Drosophila melanogaster: one gene and its partners. The protein of the gene in region 1 purifies or fractionates together with the protein of each later gene. This does not show direct contact. Each region holds a gene or a part of one and is shown in the gene's direction. Other genes may lie near its edges.

Region 1 (3,551 bases):
AAACAATATGAACATGATTTTAATATGTTAACTTGTTAATTTGAAAGTGCCAGAAATCTGCGGGTAGAATAGTATAGGTGACTGACTCTTTAGTTCCATGGAGCAACAAATACCAAGAGAATAAACAAAACGAACTATTTAGGTGTGTCTCTGAAATATCTTACAAGTCAAATTTGGTGTCATAGAAATTTTGTAAAAAGAATTGAGCAAACAACTGAGATTTTCAACAAGTCATGCCTATTGATTTGTTAATATAATATATATTTAAATTTTTAAGCAATACTATTTACAATTTGTTTGCTGACCAATTTGGAACTCAACACATTTACGTGAGAATTCAGTTCAATGTCAACGAACGCGTGCAAATAGCCGCGAAATATCTTTGGAATTGCTTCACTCGAAATAAACGCTAGAAACAAACGAAAAATACCTCGGCCAAAAAAGGCAAATAAAAGCGAATTTTTTCGCAAAACTGGAAATCTAAACAGAGACAAAGGAGATTCGTCACAATCGCCAAAGAACGAAAAGCAAAAGTTGCAGAATTGCTGAGAAGATTTGCAGACGGAAGAAGAAGAGAGCTGTTGTTAAAAAGCTGCAAATGCCAATGGGTTAATGAGGGGGAGGGGGGCAAAGAGAAAAGAAGAGGAGCAATGAAGAGAGGGGGGAGGCAAGTAGGTGGTAATAAGCTGCACCCAACCAACAAGCGAAACAACAACAGTTAGCTTCCATTTGTATTTTTCTCTCTCATTAGCCTCTCTTCGCCATTTCCTCTGCCTCTCCGTTTTCTACGTACCTCATCGATTGATGCTAAAAACTATGAATAAAATATAGGTTAGGCCTTTTCCTTATTTGTAAAAAGCCAACGAGCGTTGAACTCGTCTTGTAGCGTGGGAGTTTTGCTTTCGGAACAACGAAACTATTTTGTTTTGATTTTATCTCAGCGAATTATAATGAAATTTATGCACCGGTGTAACCGCGTGGAGATAAAAGAAAAAGGGAAGCAACGAAACGAAAAGAAAAGAAAAAACAGCAAATGTGAAAAACAAAACAAGCGACTAAAGCGATGGGCCAATTATAAAAACAACAACTATGCGACTCTGTACTTTAAGTAAAAGCCGGCATGCGTGCGAGCAAGCGAGAGAGGCAGAGAGAACAGGGCGGCAGAGCGAGAGAGAGCTAGGAATATTTCTGTGTGCCCTGGTGGTTGTAATAAAATGAAAGGAAGAAAAACTGTAAAACTCAAGCGCCGAAGCCAAAAGAACGATTTTGGGGGTGTAGTTAAAAATCACACTATATTGCTATAAAAAATCGGCATGTATTGGCGAATCTTTTTCTTAGAAATGTATTCAGGAAAACACAAGACCACACAACACACACACACATTGCTTTTAGCCTGGTTTATTTGCCTCGCAAATTCGCTTTTCATTCGCGTTTCCCCAGGCAAAAGATAAAAAAAAACTGTAGAAGAAAAACTCACCTATCGGGATGCCTTTGTTTTCCTTCAGCTACGAAGACTTTGATGCCACCGAACTTAATCACTTAACTTTCAATTGGTATTCAACACGATTTTGTCCGCCACTAAACACTGGCTGGTAAAATATTATTCAAAATATGTATAGCACAAACACACTAGAGCTGAGTTAAAATGCACAAAAGTTAGAGAGGAATTGGAAAATGGCGTATCACCCTGTCATCGATACCTGGACTATCGATATATGATGGTTGAAAACGGTGGTTTAACACTTATTCTTAAAAATACTGTTCGGTGGTATTTATTCATTTTGTTTGACATTGTAATGTAAAAGGCACATATTCTCACCATACCGCTGAATGAAATATATTTATATTTTCAACATCACTTATGTTACAAGGGACTTATGAGTAATAAGAGCTAGTGGAAATACCTCAAAAAAAAACCAATAACAGGGTTGTCACCATACTCTATAATTTCTATCGGCCTGGTGTTTTGCAGAAACTTGCAACTGGTCACACCAATGTGGCATTGTTTTGTTTTGTTTACAATTTGAATTTACTAACAAATTATTTCAATGGAGGATTCGGAAGCCGCATTTAAACGCCACGAGGGTGTGGGACCAAAGGTGAAACAGGCCTACGAGGAAGCCATTAAACAAATCTTTGCCGACTTGAGGTAAGCAGCAGGCATAGTTAACATGATAACGAATATTAAAAATCGTTAATATCTAGCTGCGCAGATCTGCAAGCGTGGGATGCCATTTACCAGGAGCACGAGCAATCCGCTCTGGACACCGAAAGCATCGTAGATCGCACTCGCAGTCTGATGACCAAGGTTGTGCTCGAAATGAACCGATGCTTTTTCGCCAGCAACGATGTGCCAAATAAGTTGCAAACTTTGGAAATGCTCAAGGAACATTTCGCTGCCTACGAGGGCAAGAAATGGTACATGTGCAGCATAAAACATAATACGATTCGATTGCATTGCTAACTCTACTCTACTCTATTGTAATCTATAGGAACGTGAACACTGCAGCACCCGATAAACTCACTCGGCCGCTGCGCATGCGATTTTTGGACTTCAGCGTGGAATTCATGGAGCAGCAACTGGCCTCTCAGGCAAAAGAACTTGAGGTGCGATTTGGATATTAGTTAATCTTTGTACTATTACTGCACTGTTTTGAGTGTACCAAAAGATCCCTAAAGTTAAAGAACCTTCGAGAAGATTTTTAGTTTAATAATTTCATTTCTATAGTTTATCATTTGCATATACATATGTACATATCTAGGTTTGTTATTCTATCAGTATAACTAACATTTGTTTATATTTCAATTACAGATTGCTATGGCCAAGAGCAATGCCAATCGCGAGCGACTCCAACATGTCCATGACAAGCGCCTGAAATTGACTGTCCAAATGGAGCAGCAATTGTCGCAGTACGAGAAAGTTAAGACAGAACTTATTAAACTAGGCGAAGCATTGAACGACTTCTGACAAACTTAAATGCAATAAATAAATAAAATACTACGCTATGAGCTTAATGATTTGAGTGGGGGGTCTTAAAATGGAAATTCATACAAACTAATCTGCATATTCATTAATGTACATACATATGTATGTACACATGCATTTGTCATTGACATTCACAATTTATTTAAATTCGTATCATTGCAATAAGCTCATAATATTAACGAGCAATTGTTTGTATTGGCGACAAAAAATCTTTTAAAATTGAATGTATATACATACATTTCAAGTTATCTCTATAAAGAATACGATAAATAGTACGAAGTTTTTAGCTAAACATGTGTAAACTTATGTATGTATGCATGTGTTTTTTGAGTGATTTCTTAGAATCGCTGTGTGCTTACACACTCCCATACATACATACTTGATTGCGTAGTATAAATCAAAGGAATGGTATTAGTGTAAAAAAGAACCGAATTTTTGCTAGATCTTCCTCAAAAAGTAACTAATAATATACATTTAAAGATGTTTTTTAAAAGATTCGTTTTAATTTCCCTTGTGAGACTGCACTCATTATACAGATTTTCAGTTATATTTTAAGGCAATAAGG
Region 2 (7,803 bases), on another chromosome or scaffold:
TTCCCTTACCGGCCCCCAAACGGTCACACTCGCCCGAGCATAGCAGATTTGGAGAAAAAAACAACTGTAATTAGGAGCCATAATTAATTCATTTCGAATCGCACACGCTTTTCAGTTTATCTAGCCGAAAGTACAGAATGTTGGCCTCCGCCTGGCGCAGCGTGGCCACCTCCGTGGAGACCCAGTTGACGGCCACCTACTTCCGAGGTTCGTCCAGCAATCCGACACTGCTCCTGCGTTCCTGGCGGACGATTCCTCGAGCGGATGCCCCTGGTTTCGGAGCGATTCGGCGGCGTTTTCTGGCTGTGCCCGTCATCTGTCCAAGTCTCGTCAAGCGTAATCTATCCGTACATACGTGTTTAATCTAATCTCTCCCGGTGCTGCAATTTCATTTCCCAGTATCTACGCTTTTTGTTCGTCCGTAGCTAGTCAGTCTGTTTATCTGTTGGCCATCTATGTAGCTAAATGTGAAACCATCGCTTCGTTTCAGTGCAAAAACTACGAAAAGTCGGCTTCAGAGGCATGCACAGCACATTGGAGGACGTGCAGCTGGAGGGCATGGAGATCAAGATCCTGCCGGCCCTGCAGGATAACTATATGTATCTGATTGTAGACACGAAGACGCGCGAGGCGGCCGTGGTGGATCCCGTGGAGCCGGAGCTGGTCATTAAGACGGTGCAGGAGCAGCAGCTGACCCTCAGCAAGGTGCTGACCACGCACCATCACTGGGACCACGCCGGTGGCAATGAAAAGCTGCTCAAGCTGTGGGAGAAGGAGCTGGACGTGTATGGCGGCGATGACCGCATCGGGGCATTGAACAAAAAGGTTCAGCAGGACGACACCTTCACCATTGGTGGTCTGCATGTCAAGTGCTTGTCCACGCCGTGCCACACTACCGGCCACATCTGCTACCACATCACCGCGCAGCAGGGCAGCGGCGAGGGAGCCGTCTTCACCGGCGACACCCTCTTCCAGGGCGGATGCGGCCGCTTCTTCGAGGGCACTCCCGAGGAAATGTACGAGGCGCTGTGCACAAAGCTCTCCGCCTTGCCGGACGCCACAAAGGTGTTCTGTGGCCACGAGTACACGCTGCAGAACATGAGCTTCGCCCGTCACGTCGAGCCCGACAACGAGGTCATCCAGCAGAGGATCGAGTGGGCCAAGCACCGGCGCGCCTCCCAGGATCCCACTGTGCCCTCCACCATTGGCGAGGAGAAGTCCTGGAACCCCTTTATGCGCGTTCACGAAGCCACCGTGCAGAAGCACGCTGGCGGAGCCACCGATCCCGTCGTCACCATGGGCAAGCTGCGCAAGGAAAAGGACACCTTCAAAGCCTGATCTATTTCCTCGAAAGTTTCGAAACTTGTGATTTAATATTGGATTTTAATGGTTAATAAAATTAACGATGTGTGTGAAGTGCGGACAATGGATTTTTAATTATTCGCAATTTATCGGATTAAAACTTTTTTTGTTTTATTCAAATTATGACATAAATTTATTTCTTCAGCTTTATTTAAAAGAATTTATTTTTGGTATTTTGGTCTAGCAACACCCTAGAGAAGAGGGTACTGGTTGATTCCAACTTTATTCATAGAGCAATGAACTTAACAAATTTTTTAAATCCAAAGATTTTAGCAAATTTCGTAAAATTTGAATCACAACGGTTTTGGTTAGGCGTTAGTGCCTTTTGGGCATATCAAAAATACTTTTGGTATTTCTAGCGATCTATCGCCAACGATCTGGCAACACCGTCTGCCATTAACACAAAAATCGCGGCGTCTCTCCAATGGGATTTTGAAATAAAAACAAGTTAACAGCACGGCGCGATGAACGCAAACAAACGCAGAAGTTCGGTGGGTTCTTCGAAAATTAATTGATTGAGAAGCGCTCATGGTAGACCTACTCTTCTTGCAGCTGCGTAAGGTGCCGACCAAGGAAGATGAGGCGACCACAACAACGTCCGCGATCAAACAACAAATCAAGCGACGCATCAGTTTCAGTGGCAAGAAGTCCGTGAGGTACGTACAGTAGATATATGCGATGTACAACGCTCACCCGCCCTCCACATAGGGAATTCGTAAACACCAAGGAGACCAACAACTGGGACGACTCGTACGAGGTGTCGGAACACCATGCTGAGGACAGCTCGGGATCGAAGTGCTGCAGCACAGGATCAGCATCAGTAGCGAGGGTTTCCGAACATGCCGACAAGGAGAACATTCCCCTGCCCAGCCACTGCGAGCGGGAACATGTCGATCTGTCCGTGAATCTGCAGGCCAGCGTGGATTTCACCCTGCTGCCCTGCGAAATGATGGACAAATCGAGGAAGACATCCTCAATCTCTGCTGTGTCCTTTTGCATGACCTCCGAGGAGCGAAAACTGTTGCAAAGCAGTCTCAGCGACCGCCAGCTGGTAGACAAGACCATGGATCTGATATCCGGATCTCTCGTCAACCGCCACCAAATCGCGTCGAGCGTTTGTGAGGAATCCTCCATCAAAGTGGCAACAAACAAACTGGAGAAGGTGGTATTCACGCCAGCTGTCAAGGCTGTGAGTGACTCCTTCATGGACATCACGCCATTGGGATTTACTGATCCCAATCCTGCTGCTCCCGCTCCAGCTCCAGTTGCAACTCTATATCCTCCAACTCAACAAAGTTTAATGGAGCTCGAAGAGGACAGCATTGTAAGGGAGATGCGTGAGTCCACCAAAAACCAGACAAAAACTCCGGCGCAGAAATCGCTTTTCATGGACGTGGGGGAGACCAAGAATAAAACCCAACAGGGAGCTGGAGGTGCATCCTTCTCATTAAATGGTTAGTATTATCTCAGTTAAATCCCTTCCCAATAGTTTCTAATTAGCAAGTTTTCGGTTGTCACATTATTTTGCAGTTTCCAATAACCGAGATCGTTCGCCATCGAACTCCTTTGAGAGCCTTAATAGCACCATGAACTTTACGAGAGATGAGTCGATGCTGATACCATTCGACATGATTTCGGGGAAAAACATAAGCAAGAAACTCAATTTTCGTCAACTCAACGAAGACCTGGAGACGGGTAAGATCCAGATATTTCCGAACGGGCCAAAAACGCCGACCACGGATCGTAAGGCCAAGAAAAATCGGTTTTGGTGCGGCCTTGAAGAGGAGAGCGCGGGAGATAATAGTCCAAAGAAAGATATAAGAAGCATAGTGCCACGAGGAATGTTAAATTTCAGTGAGAACATGACCTTGACGCCGACGAAAACAAGTCCAGTTGGAAAGAACAAGGAGAAACTAAAGGCGGCGGATGAGAAGCAGAAGTATCGACTATCCCAGGCGGATGAGATGATGCTTGACAATACAAACTTCTTGGCCCACGCCAGACTAGGCGACGAAACGCAGTCGAGAAATACGTCGAAGAACTCGACAAGAAGGGAGACAACTTGCGAAACCTCGGAACTGAATTTGGAATATCCTACGTTAAGTCAGGACTTTCAACCCATTCCGAGTTCCAAGACTCGTAAAACTGATTTTATGGCTGAAGAAATGCAGCTCAGTCAGACAAATTACCCTGCTATTCCTGCATTGAAAACTGCTACCTCGCGTCGCACCTTACATCTCAATGAATCTATGGATCATGAAACAACGAAATCCACGTACGTTAGGAAGGAGATATCGGTTACCACGCAGGAGACTATCTACGAAAAATCCACAACCAACGAGCAGAACAGCAACCAAAATCGCAACACATGGGCCTGCACTAAAACCAAGCGCAGGGCGACGCTTTTGATGCAGGAAAGCATGGAGGAGGACATCATTAGCCCTCTCAAAAACTTACAATTAAAGCCCAATGCGGCTCCTATGAATACAGGGCAATCCAAAGTGAACCATACGCTGTATCTAGCAGAACCACTGGAGGAAGTGGACATAAACCAAAGTAATATGTTACCAACTAAAAATGTTGCCCCTAGAGAACAACTTAAAGCGAGGAAAACGCTGCTATTAGAGGAACCTATGGAAGAGGAAATGAGCAGTAACATTGGTTACAATTCCAAAAGAAAGACTCTCCACTTAGCGGAACCTCTGGTGGTGGAGGGAGAGGATTTCATTTTGGAAAAGCACATACCAATAAAAGTAGTCGCGCATCAAGAAAACAAATCCAAGGGTAGACAAACTCTTTTGTTCGAGGAGCCCGTGGAGGAGGAAATATTTCACAATGCGAAAGATTTACCGGAATGTGCTTTAAAGGGAAACAAGACTGGACCTCAGAAATACAGTCAATTAAACCAGGGGAAGAGTTTCACTTCGCAAAGCAGATCCAAAGCTAGGCAAACCCTCCTGATCGAAGAACCCATGGAGGAGGACACGGAATTTAACAATAAATATAATATTGCCAAACCTGGAGAGAACCACATAAGAAAGATCGCTAAATCCAGACAAACTCTCCTTTTGTCAGAACCTTTAGAGGAGGAAATGTGTCTTCCACCGCCAAAGAATAAGTCAATAGTGTCGCAAAAAACAATAGATAAATCAACCGAGCAGCAGCGATCAAAATCGAGGCACACGCTATTATTATCCGAACCTATTGAAGAAGAACATATTCAGCAGGACTTGCCAGCTGAAAAGGAGGATAGTTTAGCTAGACAGCAAAGATTCAAGCCAAGGCAAACGCTCATCATGGCAGAGCCCATCGAAGAAGATGTTGGAGAAACGGAACGTAGGGTGCAAACTAACATCACTGGTTCGTCAACTTCCAGACCAAGACACACTCTTTTGATGTCCGAACCGATTGAAGAAGAACTAACTAACGAAGATAAAAGTACGAATGCCAGCACAAATAGAACGTTAAGATCGAGGCGAACCATTTTGATGGCGGAACCGATAGAGGAAGAGGGCAATAAGTCTATCGCTGAAAAAATAGGTCAATTTACTAAAGAATCTTCTGAAGAAGCGGTATTTCAAACTTCCAAATCTCGTCAAACTCTGCTGATGGCAGAGCCTATAGAGGAAGATGTTTTCAATCAGTCAAATGATCAGCCAAAGCCACTTCCTATATCTAAGGATAAAATCACTAGGAAGACCTCTAGACGACACACGCTTATTACTGCCGAACCCATTGAAGAGGATTTGAGTGTTCGTAAGCCGCTGGAAAATTCAAAGGAGTCATCTTTGACCGCCAGAATTATTCAGTCATTCGCCGAGCCCATTGAAAATGCCCTATTTTCAATTACTGATCAAATAGCTAAACAGCAATTTTCCGAATCGGTTCAAACTCCTCCCAAGGAACCCCTAAACTATCTCCACCAGAAGCCGCGGAATACCCTCATCTCGCATGAAACTATTCAGGAGGATTTAGAACCCGTAAATGAAAACTCATCAGTGGGGCCTCTGAGGTCCAGGTACAGAAAGACCCTTATCATGGCAGAGCCCATTGAAGAAGATGTTAATAACCACAATATGACCAAACAAAATGGGATCTGTGACTCTTTAAATGTTCCACAGTCCGGTGGATATATGGCTGCCAAAACAAGACAATCCGTGCATATACCGGTACCCATTGAGGAGGATCATATTCCGGGCCAACAGCAAAGAGAATCCGAACCTGCGGTGAAGGGCAGAACTACGCTGCTGACTGAGTCCATAGAAGAAGATGTACCCGCGCAACACACTCGAATTTCTAAAAATAAATCAATGGGCTCGAAGGTTTCGGCGGAGCCTATCATCGAGGATTTGGATTCCAACAGACCAGAAATTTCACAATCCGTGGAAGAGACTTTACCCCAAAGAAGCCAGGTTCCTGATGTTCCGTCATCCAGAAGACATACGCTACTTTTATCGGAACCCATGGAAGAGGATGAGGGGATATTCGGACATAACTACCCCATAAGGACCAAGCACCAAATTTCCGAAAAGCTAGAAAAACCAGAAGGACCCATTCATTCATCTAAAAATTCCGTAGAAAACGAAGAGATAGGCACTCCTCCCAGTGCCAAGACTCAGCAATCCATTGCTATGTCCGAATCAATGGACTTTCAAAGCCCGCAGTTTAGGCCGAGGGGTCCGGACTTTAATGCAATCACGCCGGGAATGTCCTTGACTGAATTTGTGGATCAGGAAGAGATGTGCAAGACCCCGATTCACAAAAGAGTTCTCCTGACTTCCCATCGGAAAAAATTGTCCATGTACCAACCAGTGCCGATAGACCTTGAGGCGAATGCCTCCGGCTTTGGAACTCCAAAAAATCTCGTCCAACTAAAGCGCCTACCCACGCATCTCACGCCCAACCTTCCGGAGTCCAAGAAACGAAACACGCATCTGTTTCCGAATAGCAACATGGACATCGAATTGGAGGAGGATCAGGAAGGTTCTTGGGGGACAAAAAGTATTCAGATGCACACAGGGACAAGTAAATCACGCAGGACCTACACGGTAGACCAGTTGGACGCGTCGGTGCAGCCAGTAAGGGACTACAATCCTGTAGTGACTGAGATGAACAAACAGGGTGGTCTTAATATGCTGGAGCTGCCACGAAAATCGACCTATAACATGGATCTAGAGGAGAAACCCATCACTATCTCCGATGTTAATAATTACTTCCATGAGCAAAAGGAGCAGCAGCGCCAGTCTAGCGAAAGAGAGAGCGGCAGCTCCAACGATAGAACCTTCAAGAGCTACGCAGCAACAATCTCAAAATTCATCAATCTGACCGGGAACACAACCATCTTTGCAGCCGCAGAAGATTTGGGTGGTGAGGGGAAGGACCAGCCCCACCAGATAGATAACGAGCACCTAAGTCTGGTTTCCACGCTGGCGGAGGAAACAGACGATGATGGCGACGAGAAGGAGGAGGAAGAAGAGCAGAAGCAAAAACAGCATCTCTTACAACCTGAAATCTGCGAGGCTCAACTGAATTCAATGGTAAAAGCTGGCAGCGAAGGCTCCTGCAAAAAGTGCAGGAATTGCAATCATACTTTGAGCGAAACAAGGCTAAGTAGCGAGTCATTTGTCCTGCCACCTCGGAAATTGTGGGACTTTTCAAGGCTACAGCAACGGTTGCGCAATATAAGGCAGAGGCCGTCGTGGAAGGAAGTGAACACTTACTGGGAGATCGAGGAGGAGGCTCGTCTGTCCAGGAACCAAGACTCCGACGATTCAATGGAGCAGACCAGGGTGGAGGAGGAGGCCACCAAGTGGAACAAAGCGGCGCTTCTTGAAATGTGCAAGCTGTGAGTACCGAATACACTTGGAATTTTGAATCATTTTTTAACATTTACTATTTCTACAACAGAAGAACAGAAGAGAAGGACATAGCCATGCCCCCGGAATCCTTCTTTACGAGACTCAAACGTTTGCTAACCGAACAGCAGCCCAACTGGATCTTCGACTACCAGCGTAAAGTGTCCCAGCAAATGATATTTTACAACCGACAGCTGACCACGATCCGAATCGTGGTGAACTACCAAATCGAAGACTTAGTAGAGGAGTCCACCATTAGCGTGTGTTCCATTCAACTAGACAATGACGTGCCCACTCCCAAGGACCAATGGTCATCGCGTGAACACTTTTTAAACTTCCACCTAAGTCTCCGCCTGCCGATGAATCCTAGCGACGAGATCGAGGGCAGTGATGAGACGGCTTTCTTGAAATTTCTCAACGGCATTGATCGCAGAATTGCAGAAGTCAAGCAAAAGTTACACAAAGTTTTAGATCTTCTAGCGCAGAAGAGAGCGAGGCTAACAAGGTATAAGCTTCTCCAAGGTGTATCTCAATACATTACTAATTTAAGTGATCCCTTTTTAGAGAAGCAAATCGAACTATTGTC
Region 3 (3,767 bases), on another chromosome or scaffold:
CGCTCTCCTCGGAAACGTTCAGCACATGGTTCTTTACCAGACGAGTGATGGCATGAGCCCGGGATGCCGTATTGTGTCGGGATGCCTTCAATGGCAGGGCAGCCACGGTGGCCACATCGAGATAGAGGGATACCTTATCGGTGGGCGCGGGATGCAGACAAGCGACGGCATTCAGGAAGGTCTCCTCGGTGACGCGCGGACTGAGTTTGCTCTCCAGATGACTGAACTTCAGTAGGTTTAGATGGCGCAGCTGGCCGATGATCAGGACCGGATGTGTCTGCGGATCACTGCAGCCTAGCGACTCGTTAAACTTTACGTCCGTGGCCATCTGTAAGAGAATGTGTGTGCGAATGAGTAAAGAATGGAATGGCTAGCCAAATCCCAGTGATAAGCCGCCGGTATTATCTTATCGGTGCTAATCTGGTGTTTAGCGCTCCAAGTGCCCCACTTGCTTATCAGTCGACGACTTTGCACCACAGGGGCGGTCAATGGATGCAGCCATCCATAAATCACGAGAGCCAAAACCGGCGAGATAAGCAGTGGCATTTGGGTTATGGGTAGGGCCATCTGGACAAACACAGGGGCGTTACTCATCGGTTGCAAGCGGATGCAACGCTGTAGGGGAAGTTTAAGAATAGCTGACCCATATTAGAATGGCTCAATTAAAGTAGCTCCATTGTGAAAAATACTGCAGTATAATTTTATAACTAAAATTCTAATAAAAAACAATCAATCAATAATTATGTTTACAACTAAAAAGCATTGGGTTCATAAAATGAAGCTTCAAAAGAAAAAAATTACCTCTAAAATATTTTAACTATAATAATCACCTAATATACATAAATATAAATTGTATTGCATTTATAATGAACAAATTAAGATAAATTGTAGTAGCAATATGAATTCTAATAATTTACATAACATTTTCTGAGTTTTAGCGAATATTAGAAAATCTTATAAAATCAAATAACGTTTTTTTTTACAAATTATTAATTTTAATATATTTTGGTACAATAACTTAACTAAGTAGTTAACATTTTCAACTTAAAGCCATCAATTTTCCAGCTTTACAGTCGCAAGGCAATAAAAACATAAACTACCGAAAAGATATCGTTCAGCACATATCTTTACGATGCTCCATAAACTCGCATGGGTTTTATAAGCACGATATCATTGTGCATAAAGCGATTTAAGTTTCTTAAAATCGCAAATGCCACATGACCTTGAATTCGGTGCAACAAGAACAACAAGTGGGTCGTTGACCGACTCGCAGCATTCGAAACCGAAAAGTGGATAAACATCTAATTTACCCATTTTCAATTGGATTTGACTGGACACTCGATATGTAGAAATATTATGCAAATTCTATATTCTCTATTTTTAGACTCTTTGTTCGCGATTTCTTCGTTTGCAAAGCGTTTTTTGCACATTTTCTGCCTTTTTATTCGCTCACCTTTTTGAAGCGGGCGCTGCTGTAGGTGCGAGCGAGATGGTTGCGTATTGCCTGGACGCAGAGCAGCAAACGCATGAAGTGCCTGCTTCAGAAATTGCACAAAAATTTGCCAAAAGTGCCGACGTTTTATTTTTATTTTATTTTGCTGCCAATTTGACTTGCAATTTTTTGCTTGCCGGCTAATAGAGATGTGACTTGCACGACGATAAGTCGATGTCAGCTATCGATAAGTGCAGAACCACTTTTTTCTTTCAGCCTGGCCACCCTGCTGGTGTCGTGGAAGTGTCATCCCTAATGAGAAGTACCACCACTAACTGGAAAGCAAAACAAGCGTCTGGAAAACGGCGCTTAGTTTTTAAAGATTTTAATTGATTGCAGTAAATTGAGTTTAAAATGGCAATTATTATGACTGAATCGAGTTACGAAAGGCGCGTAAAGGCTTTGTACGAAAAACAAATTCACATGGAAGCCCTCGAGGCGAAATTCATCAAAAAGGTCTTTAAATTCAACAGCAATTTGTGTGAGTTGGAATTTATCTCCATATATCTCCATTTCAATTGATATATTTCACTAAATATTTTAGTGGATGTCAAGGAAGCAGCTTCGCGCCATCAGCGGAAAGTGGGAAAGTTGCAAAAAGTGCTCATGGAGCGGCGGGAGGAGTTGGACAAGCGAGTTTCCTTCATAGAGGAACTTGATCGAGAACTGGAGGCCACCAAACTTCACAATTTGGCCATGAAAGATTGGTTTAAACAGCAGAAAATGCTGGCCAAACAGCGCAAAAACGAAATCATGGAAAGGTCAGGGATTAGGTCAAAGATAATCATATTAAGATTTTCTTAGCACGAATGGCTAGCTAATATTTTCCGGGCTCCAATGGGTTCGATCTTGTCCTTATTATACATAAAAATGACTATTCATATTGATTTTTAGTCCATCCAAAACTACTATTGGTACAAATATATGTATATGACAATAATGTATTGTCAACATTTATGGTCTTTACATGCGTACAAGTTGCAGTGAGAGACTAATCAAATACTTTATTTACTTTAACTAAATCTATTAGGAGCATCATCAAAGTCTATAAACTGCAAATAATAGATATAGTTGAGGTCGTGTTCCAAATAACTTATTTAGCTTACATACATAATTTATTTGCATAGCCTCACATGCGCTCTTATTTTTCAAACAAATCCGATTTTAATGCGGTCAGTTTTAAACTTAGTATACTATAATGAGAGCAATGTGTGTTTATTTGTTTTATTTTATAGCATTCACACGCTGTCGAAGACAACAAGAACCTATATAAATCAAGAAGCGCTGCCGGCACGTGTGAAGGGTGTCACTGTACTCCGTGGCGATAAACGCGACCAGTTGATACCCTTTGATCTGAAGGCGACCGATGTGGAAGGACTGGACTCACTGTGTCAGCATCTCGAGAGTCTAAATGTGGACGTGGCGCAGTGGCAGCAGCTTATCTCGCTGGCCATGGACATGGCTATGGAGTCACGTGCTCCCACTACTCCGCCCAAGGAAGCAGACAATTGCAAGTCTATAATCGAGATTGATCTCACATCGCCGATGAGCCACACCTGACTTCCGATTAACTGATTTACTTGGATTAGGGGGAAGACCCTTTTCCAATGGAGCACTTTATTTTAGCATTATAAATAGTTGGCTTCCAATAAAAGCTCAATTGGGAATTCATCTTAACGAATTAAGCATCTTATTATAGCAGTTTTTTAGCCATTTAAGTACTGCTTGTAATTGTTTAAGTGCAGTGTAAATTATACATATATCTCCCAAAATTTTTTTTTTTTTCTTTTTTCTGATATATCATCTTCACTGGAAGCTTAAAAATTTTTAGAGATATCGCCAAAGAAGAGATATCGCGAAAGGCTCCAGTTTAAGTAGTTCCAATTCAAACTTATTCAAATTAAAAACCAGTTATTGAATTTATTTTAAATCAAAAGTCTTCTTATCATATTTAACCAAATTTACAACTTTAGTGATAATTATATCATAAATTTGGTTTAATGAGTTCTCTATTACTATAAGGTTTTATATATATTTCAAATGTTTGGGTAATTTCCTTATAACTATATCAGAACAAGACCTGTTTTATTAAACACCTTTCTTTAAGATTTGTATGATTATCTGAGAGCTTTTGACATGGCGGCCGGTGTTAATCGAGAAATCTCGAAAGTCACAAGCGACTCAGAGTGCCACCGACTAACCGATCTATGAATAAACAGCGATCCATATAGATTGGCGCTGCTCAATTGCTATTGTCCGGCGAAAGTTAGAGCGA
Region 4 (3,817 bases), on another chromosome or scaffold:
AAATGTGTCGCCCAGTTTTACACCCCTTATCGAAAATGTGTTAAAATTTCGTTTTAGGAAAATCATAAAAATAGTGATAGGGATAGTTAGTTATATTTATTAGCAGTCATTAGTTTAGCTGTGACACCTTTTTTGGCCAAGTTTTGGAGAAATGAGCGATTGGAAATATACGATTTTCGACAAAATTTCTCTTCGTTCCTTTTTCGTTACAAAAATAACGAGTTTTTTTGCAATAGCAATAAGAATAGTTGTCCAAAACTGGAATGTCATATCTCGTTGAATTCGTAACTTAATTCCCTATCCATATGTGTTGAAACCTGAAAGATCCAAGAGGCTTCAATTTTTTGCAAATTTTGATGAGGGTACCCCTTATCAAAAATGCGAAATTTTGTAAAAATTTTATTTTTGGAAAATCAAAAAACTAGTGATAGGGATAGTTAGGTATGTTTATTAGCAGTACAAAACAGTCTTTATTTTCGCTGTGCCACCTTTTTGGCCAAGTTATGGAGAAATCAGCGATTGGAAATATACGATTTTTGACAAAATTTCTTTTCGTTCCTTTTTGGTTACAAAAATAACGAGTTTTTTTGCAATAGCAATAAGAATAGTTGTCCAAAACTGGAATGTCATATCTCGTTGAATTCGTAACTTAATTCCCTATCCATATGTGTTGAAACCTGAAAGATCCAAGAGGCTTCAATTTTTTGCAAATTTTGATGAGGGTACCCCTTATCAAAAATGCGAAATTTTGTAAAAATTTTATTTTTGGAAAATCAAAAAACTAGTGATAGGGATAGTTAGGTATGTTTATTAGCAGTACAAAACAGTATTTATTTTCACTGTACCACCTTTTTTGGCCAAGTTATGGAGAAATCAGCGATTGGAAATATACGATTTTTGACAAAATTTCTTTTCGTTCCTTTTTGGTTACAAAAATAACGAGTTTTTTTGCAATAGCAATAAGAATAGTTGTCCAAAACTGGAATGTCATATCTCGTTGAATTCGTAACTTAATTCCCTATCCATATGTGTTGAAACCTGAAAGATCCAAGAGGCTTCAATTTTTTGCAAATTTTGATGAGGGTACCCCTTATCAAAAATGCGAAATTTTGTAAAAATTTTATTTTTGGAAAATCAAAAAACTAGTGATAGGGATAGTTAGGTATGTTTATTAGCAGTACAAAACAGTATTTATTTTCACTGTACCACCTTTTTTGGCCAAGTTATGGAGAAATCAGCGATTGGAAATATACGATTTTTGGCAAAATTTCTTTTCGTTCCTTTTTGGTTACAAAAATAACGAGTTTTTTGCAATAGCAATAAGAATAGTTGTCCAAAACTGGAATGTCATATCTCGTTGAGTTCGTAACTTAATTCCCTATCCATATGTGTTGAAACCTGAAAGATCCAAGAGGCTTCAATTTTTTGCAAATTTTGATGAGGGTACCCCTTATCAAAAATGCGAAATTTTGTAAAAATTTTATTTTTGGAAAATCAAAAAACTAGTGATAGGGATAGTTAGGTATGTTTATTAGCAGTACAAAACAGTCTTTATTTTCGCTGTGCCACCTTTTTTGGCCAAGTTTTGGAGAAAACCCCGTACGGGCATATCAGATTTTTAGCATCATCTTTTGCAGCGCTGGAGGAAGCCAGAGTTTTCACTCACCAATAAAAAATGTAACTTAGTAACTTTAGCCAGATTTTCCGTTACTTTTTAAGTTTGCGCTGAACAAATGCAGTATTTTCTAGCTGCCGGGAAAGAAAACCGGATAAAAAAACCCGAGAATCTGCTGTAGGACTATAGGTGTGAAAACCACATAAATTCTGAGTTAGTATTTTAGTGGTTTTTTGGGGCTAGCAAGCTTTGGTCACATCAATCTGATCCCTTAGCGGCGTTCCATTCAAAAACTGCCATTAAAAATTAAAACTCTGGATTGAATGGCGTTATCAGTCGAAATTGAAAGGGTAATGGACCAGGGCAACTGCCTGATGCCCGACATCAATATCTGCCAAAGCGACTTGGCCAATCCCACCGAGCCCATTGTCACCAAGATCATGGTGCACTATCTGCGGAGTTTCGGCTTTCGCCTGGAGCCGCCCTATAAGATTGGCACCGAACTCGGTCACTCGTCGCGGGAGGCGCGCGTCTTTCTTATCCGAGTGTGCCGCCAAGTGGAGCGCATCGTCCAGATCAGCTTTCCCAACAAGACGTACACCTATATGGACATAATTAAACCAGGTGAGCCGGCAGCCGGTCTTACAATAAGCAATTATTATTAAACAATTCTTTGGCTATTAGCTGTTAAAAAAACGCTCGCCACGCTGAGCTACCTTTTCAACCATCTGGCCTACTACAAGGTGTTCAAAAAGAAGGTGCTGGGACCTGTAGAGGAGGCCATTAAGCTAAAGGATTCGCTGACCGCCGAGGTGAAGGCCAAAAGTCAACAGCTGGAGCAATGCAGCCAGAAGACGAAGGATTGCGAAGTGGCCATAAACAAACTCAAGAAAGATTTGCAGGATACTCAAGCAAAGCTTCTACCTTTGAAGAAGTCCTGTAGCGAGCATGAAAACACTCTGGAACTCATTGAGCAGCAGCAGGGTGAGCTGGACAAACGCATCGGTCACTGGGAACAGCTAGTGGTGGAGGACAGTCAAGTGACAGAGCTGCGAGAGTAAGTGCTGTCGGGCAAGCCTAGATTCTGTGCTTATTTTAATGTCAAACATTGTAGGAAAATTAAGAGCGCATCGTCGCATGTCGAGAGCTGCAAGACGGAGCTGGCCAGTAAAAAACAGGTGACGAATGAACATCGCCGGATGATCGAAAACAGTCAACATATAGCCACCGCTTTGGAGAAGGCCACGGCTGTGCTTTCGCTGTGCAAGGTGGATGATTACAAAGAGAGCTTCAAGCAGCTGGAGGCAGTGGAAAAGCAGTTGCCCACCTGTAAAGTTAATTATCAGAAGCTCCTTCAGGATGCAGAGGCCAAGAAGCAGGAACTCGCTCTTTGTGCACATCGGTACGAGGAAAGAAACCAGGAAAACGATGCCGAGAATCACAAGGTGCAAAATGAACTCAAAAAGCTGCAGGTCGATGTTGAGGATCGCAAGAAACGTCTGGAGGATCTGAATAATCACTTGATCGAGCTAGACCAGCAAAATTTGGAGCAAGATCAGCTATATGCCATATTAAATGAGCAAATCCATGAGGTTCTCGGACAAAACTGGCAGATGAATTCCACTTAATATACTGATTTTATTCTATTAATGCAAAACAGCTCAGCTCGTTTTTATGGTTAGGACTGAACAAAGGGGTCGGTGCCGGTTTACGTTTCCATTTTCTTGCTCTCCAAATGGGCCTTCAACTGCTGGCTGAAGTCGTCCTCCACGTTGTCGTCGTCCCAGTTGTCCTCCCACACATTTAGCTCTTCCTCGTCGTCGCCAACGCGGAAATCTACAATGAAAGTGATTAGAAACTGCCGATGTACCACCACATTATTGCGTCCAACCTTCGGCGGGAAACTCTTCGAACTCGTCGTCCTCCTCCAGGAGACCCAAGTCTTCGCTCTTGTTGTTGGTCTCCTCCTTCTCTTTCTCCTTTTCCTTATCTGGGGCAGACATTTTGTGTGCTTTTATTAATTCCAACGGCGATAAAACAATGTTTTTGACGCTATTCGCGTTTTTTGTTGCTAAATGATGCCAGTCACTTTTAATTGTGTGACCGCAGCTGTACCGTCGAAATATACCCAAGTGAACAGGAAAAAATACTTTCAAAATACCGTTGGCACCCGACAGTGATGTCAAATCTAACTTTATAGCT

What was found.
Region 2: the proteins of Nnf1a (region 1) and Spc105R purify together in Drosophila melanogaster (affinity purification with mass spectrometry; 2 studies listed by BioGRID, with this or other methods). This does not show direct contact.
Region 3: the proteins of Nnf1a (region 1) and Spc25 purify together in Drosophila melanogaster (affinity purification with mass spectrometry; 2 studies listed by BioGRID). This does not show direct contact.
Region 4: the proteins of Nnf1a (region 1) and Nuf2 purify together in Drosophila melanogaster (affinity purification with mass spectrometry; 2 studies listed by BioGRID). This does not show direct contact.

Annotation. Positions count from the first base shown.
Region 1 is NT_033778.4:20,585,671-20,589,221, reverse strand, and holds Nnf1a (Nnf1a), read left to right. Parts: upstream 1-1,983; 5' UTR 1,984-2,048; coding exon 2,049-2,149; intron 2,150-2,205; coding exon 2,206-2,418; intron 2,419-2,492; coding exon 2,493-2,607; intron 2,608-2,812; coding exon 2,813-2,968; 3' UTR 2,969-3,000; downstream 3,001-3,551.
Region 2 is NT_037436.4:20,798,653-20,806,455, forward strand, and holds the start of Spc105R (Spc105-related), read left to right. Parts: upstream 1-1,757; 5' UTR 1,758-1,826; coding exon 1,827-1,853; exon of another isoform or gene 1,854-1,890; coding exon of another isoform or gene 1,891-1,914; coding exon 1,915-2,018; intron 2,019-2,070; coding exon 2,071-2,816; intron 2,817-2,892; coding exon 2,893-7,207; intron 7,208-7,269; coding exon 7,270-7,722; intron 7,723-7,781; coding exon 7,782-7,803. Other genes in the region: tzn (tenzing norgay), read left to right, coding at 138-336, 491-1,338.
Region 3 is NT_033777.3:12,959,990-12,963,756, forward strand, and holds Spc25 (Spc25), read left to right. Parts: upstream 1-1,755; 5' UTR 1,756-1,846; coding exon 1,847-1,973; intron 1,974-2,036; coding exon 2,037-2,253; intron 2,254-2,727; coding exon 2,728-3,052; 3' UTR 3,053-3,260; downstream 3,261-3,767. Other genes in the region: grsm (granny smith), read right to left, coding at 1-328. UniProt on the Drosophila melanogaster protein: Acts as a component of the essential kinetochore-associated Ndc80 complex, which is required for chromosome segregation and spindle checkpoint activity during meiosis and mitosis.
Region 4 is NT_033779.5:7,063,887-7,067,703, reverse strand, and holds Nuf2 (Nuf2), read left to right. Parts: upstream 1-1,866; 5' UTR 1,867-1,938; coding exon 1,939-2,239; intron 2,240-2,299; coding exon 2,300-2,672; intron 2,673-2,729; coding exon 2,730-3,243; 3' UTR 3,244-3,273; downstream 3,274-3,817. Other genes in the region: Sem1 (suppressor of exocyst mutations 1), read right to left, coding at 3,324-3,451, 3,507-3,618.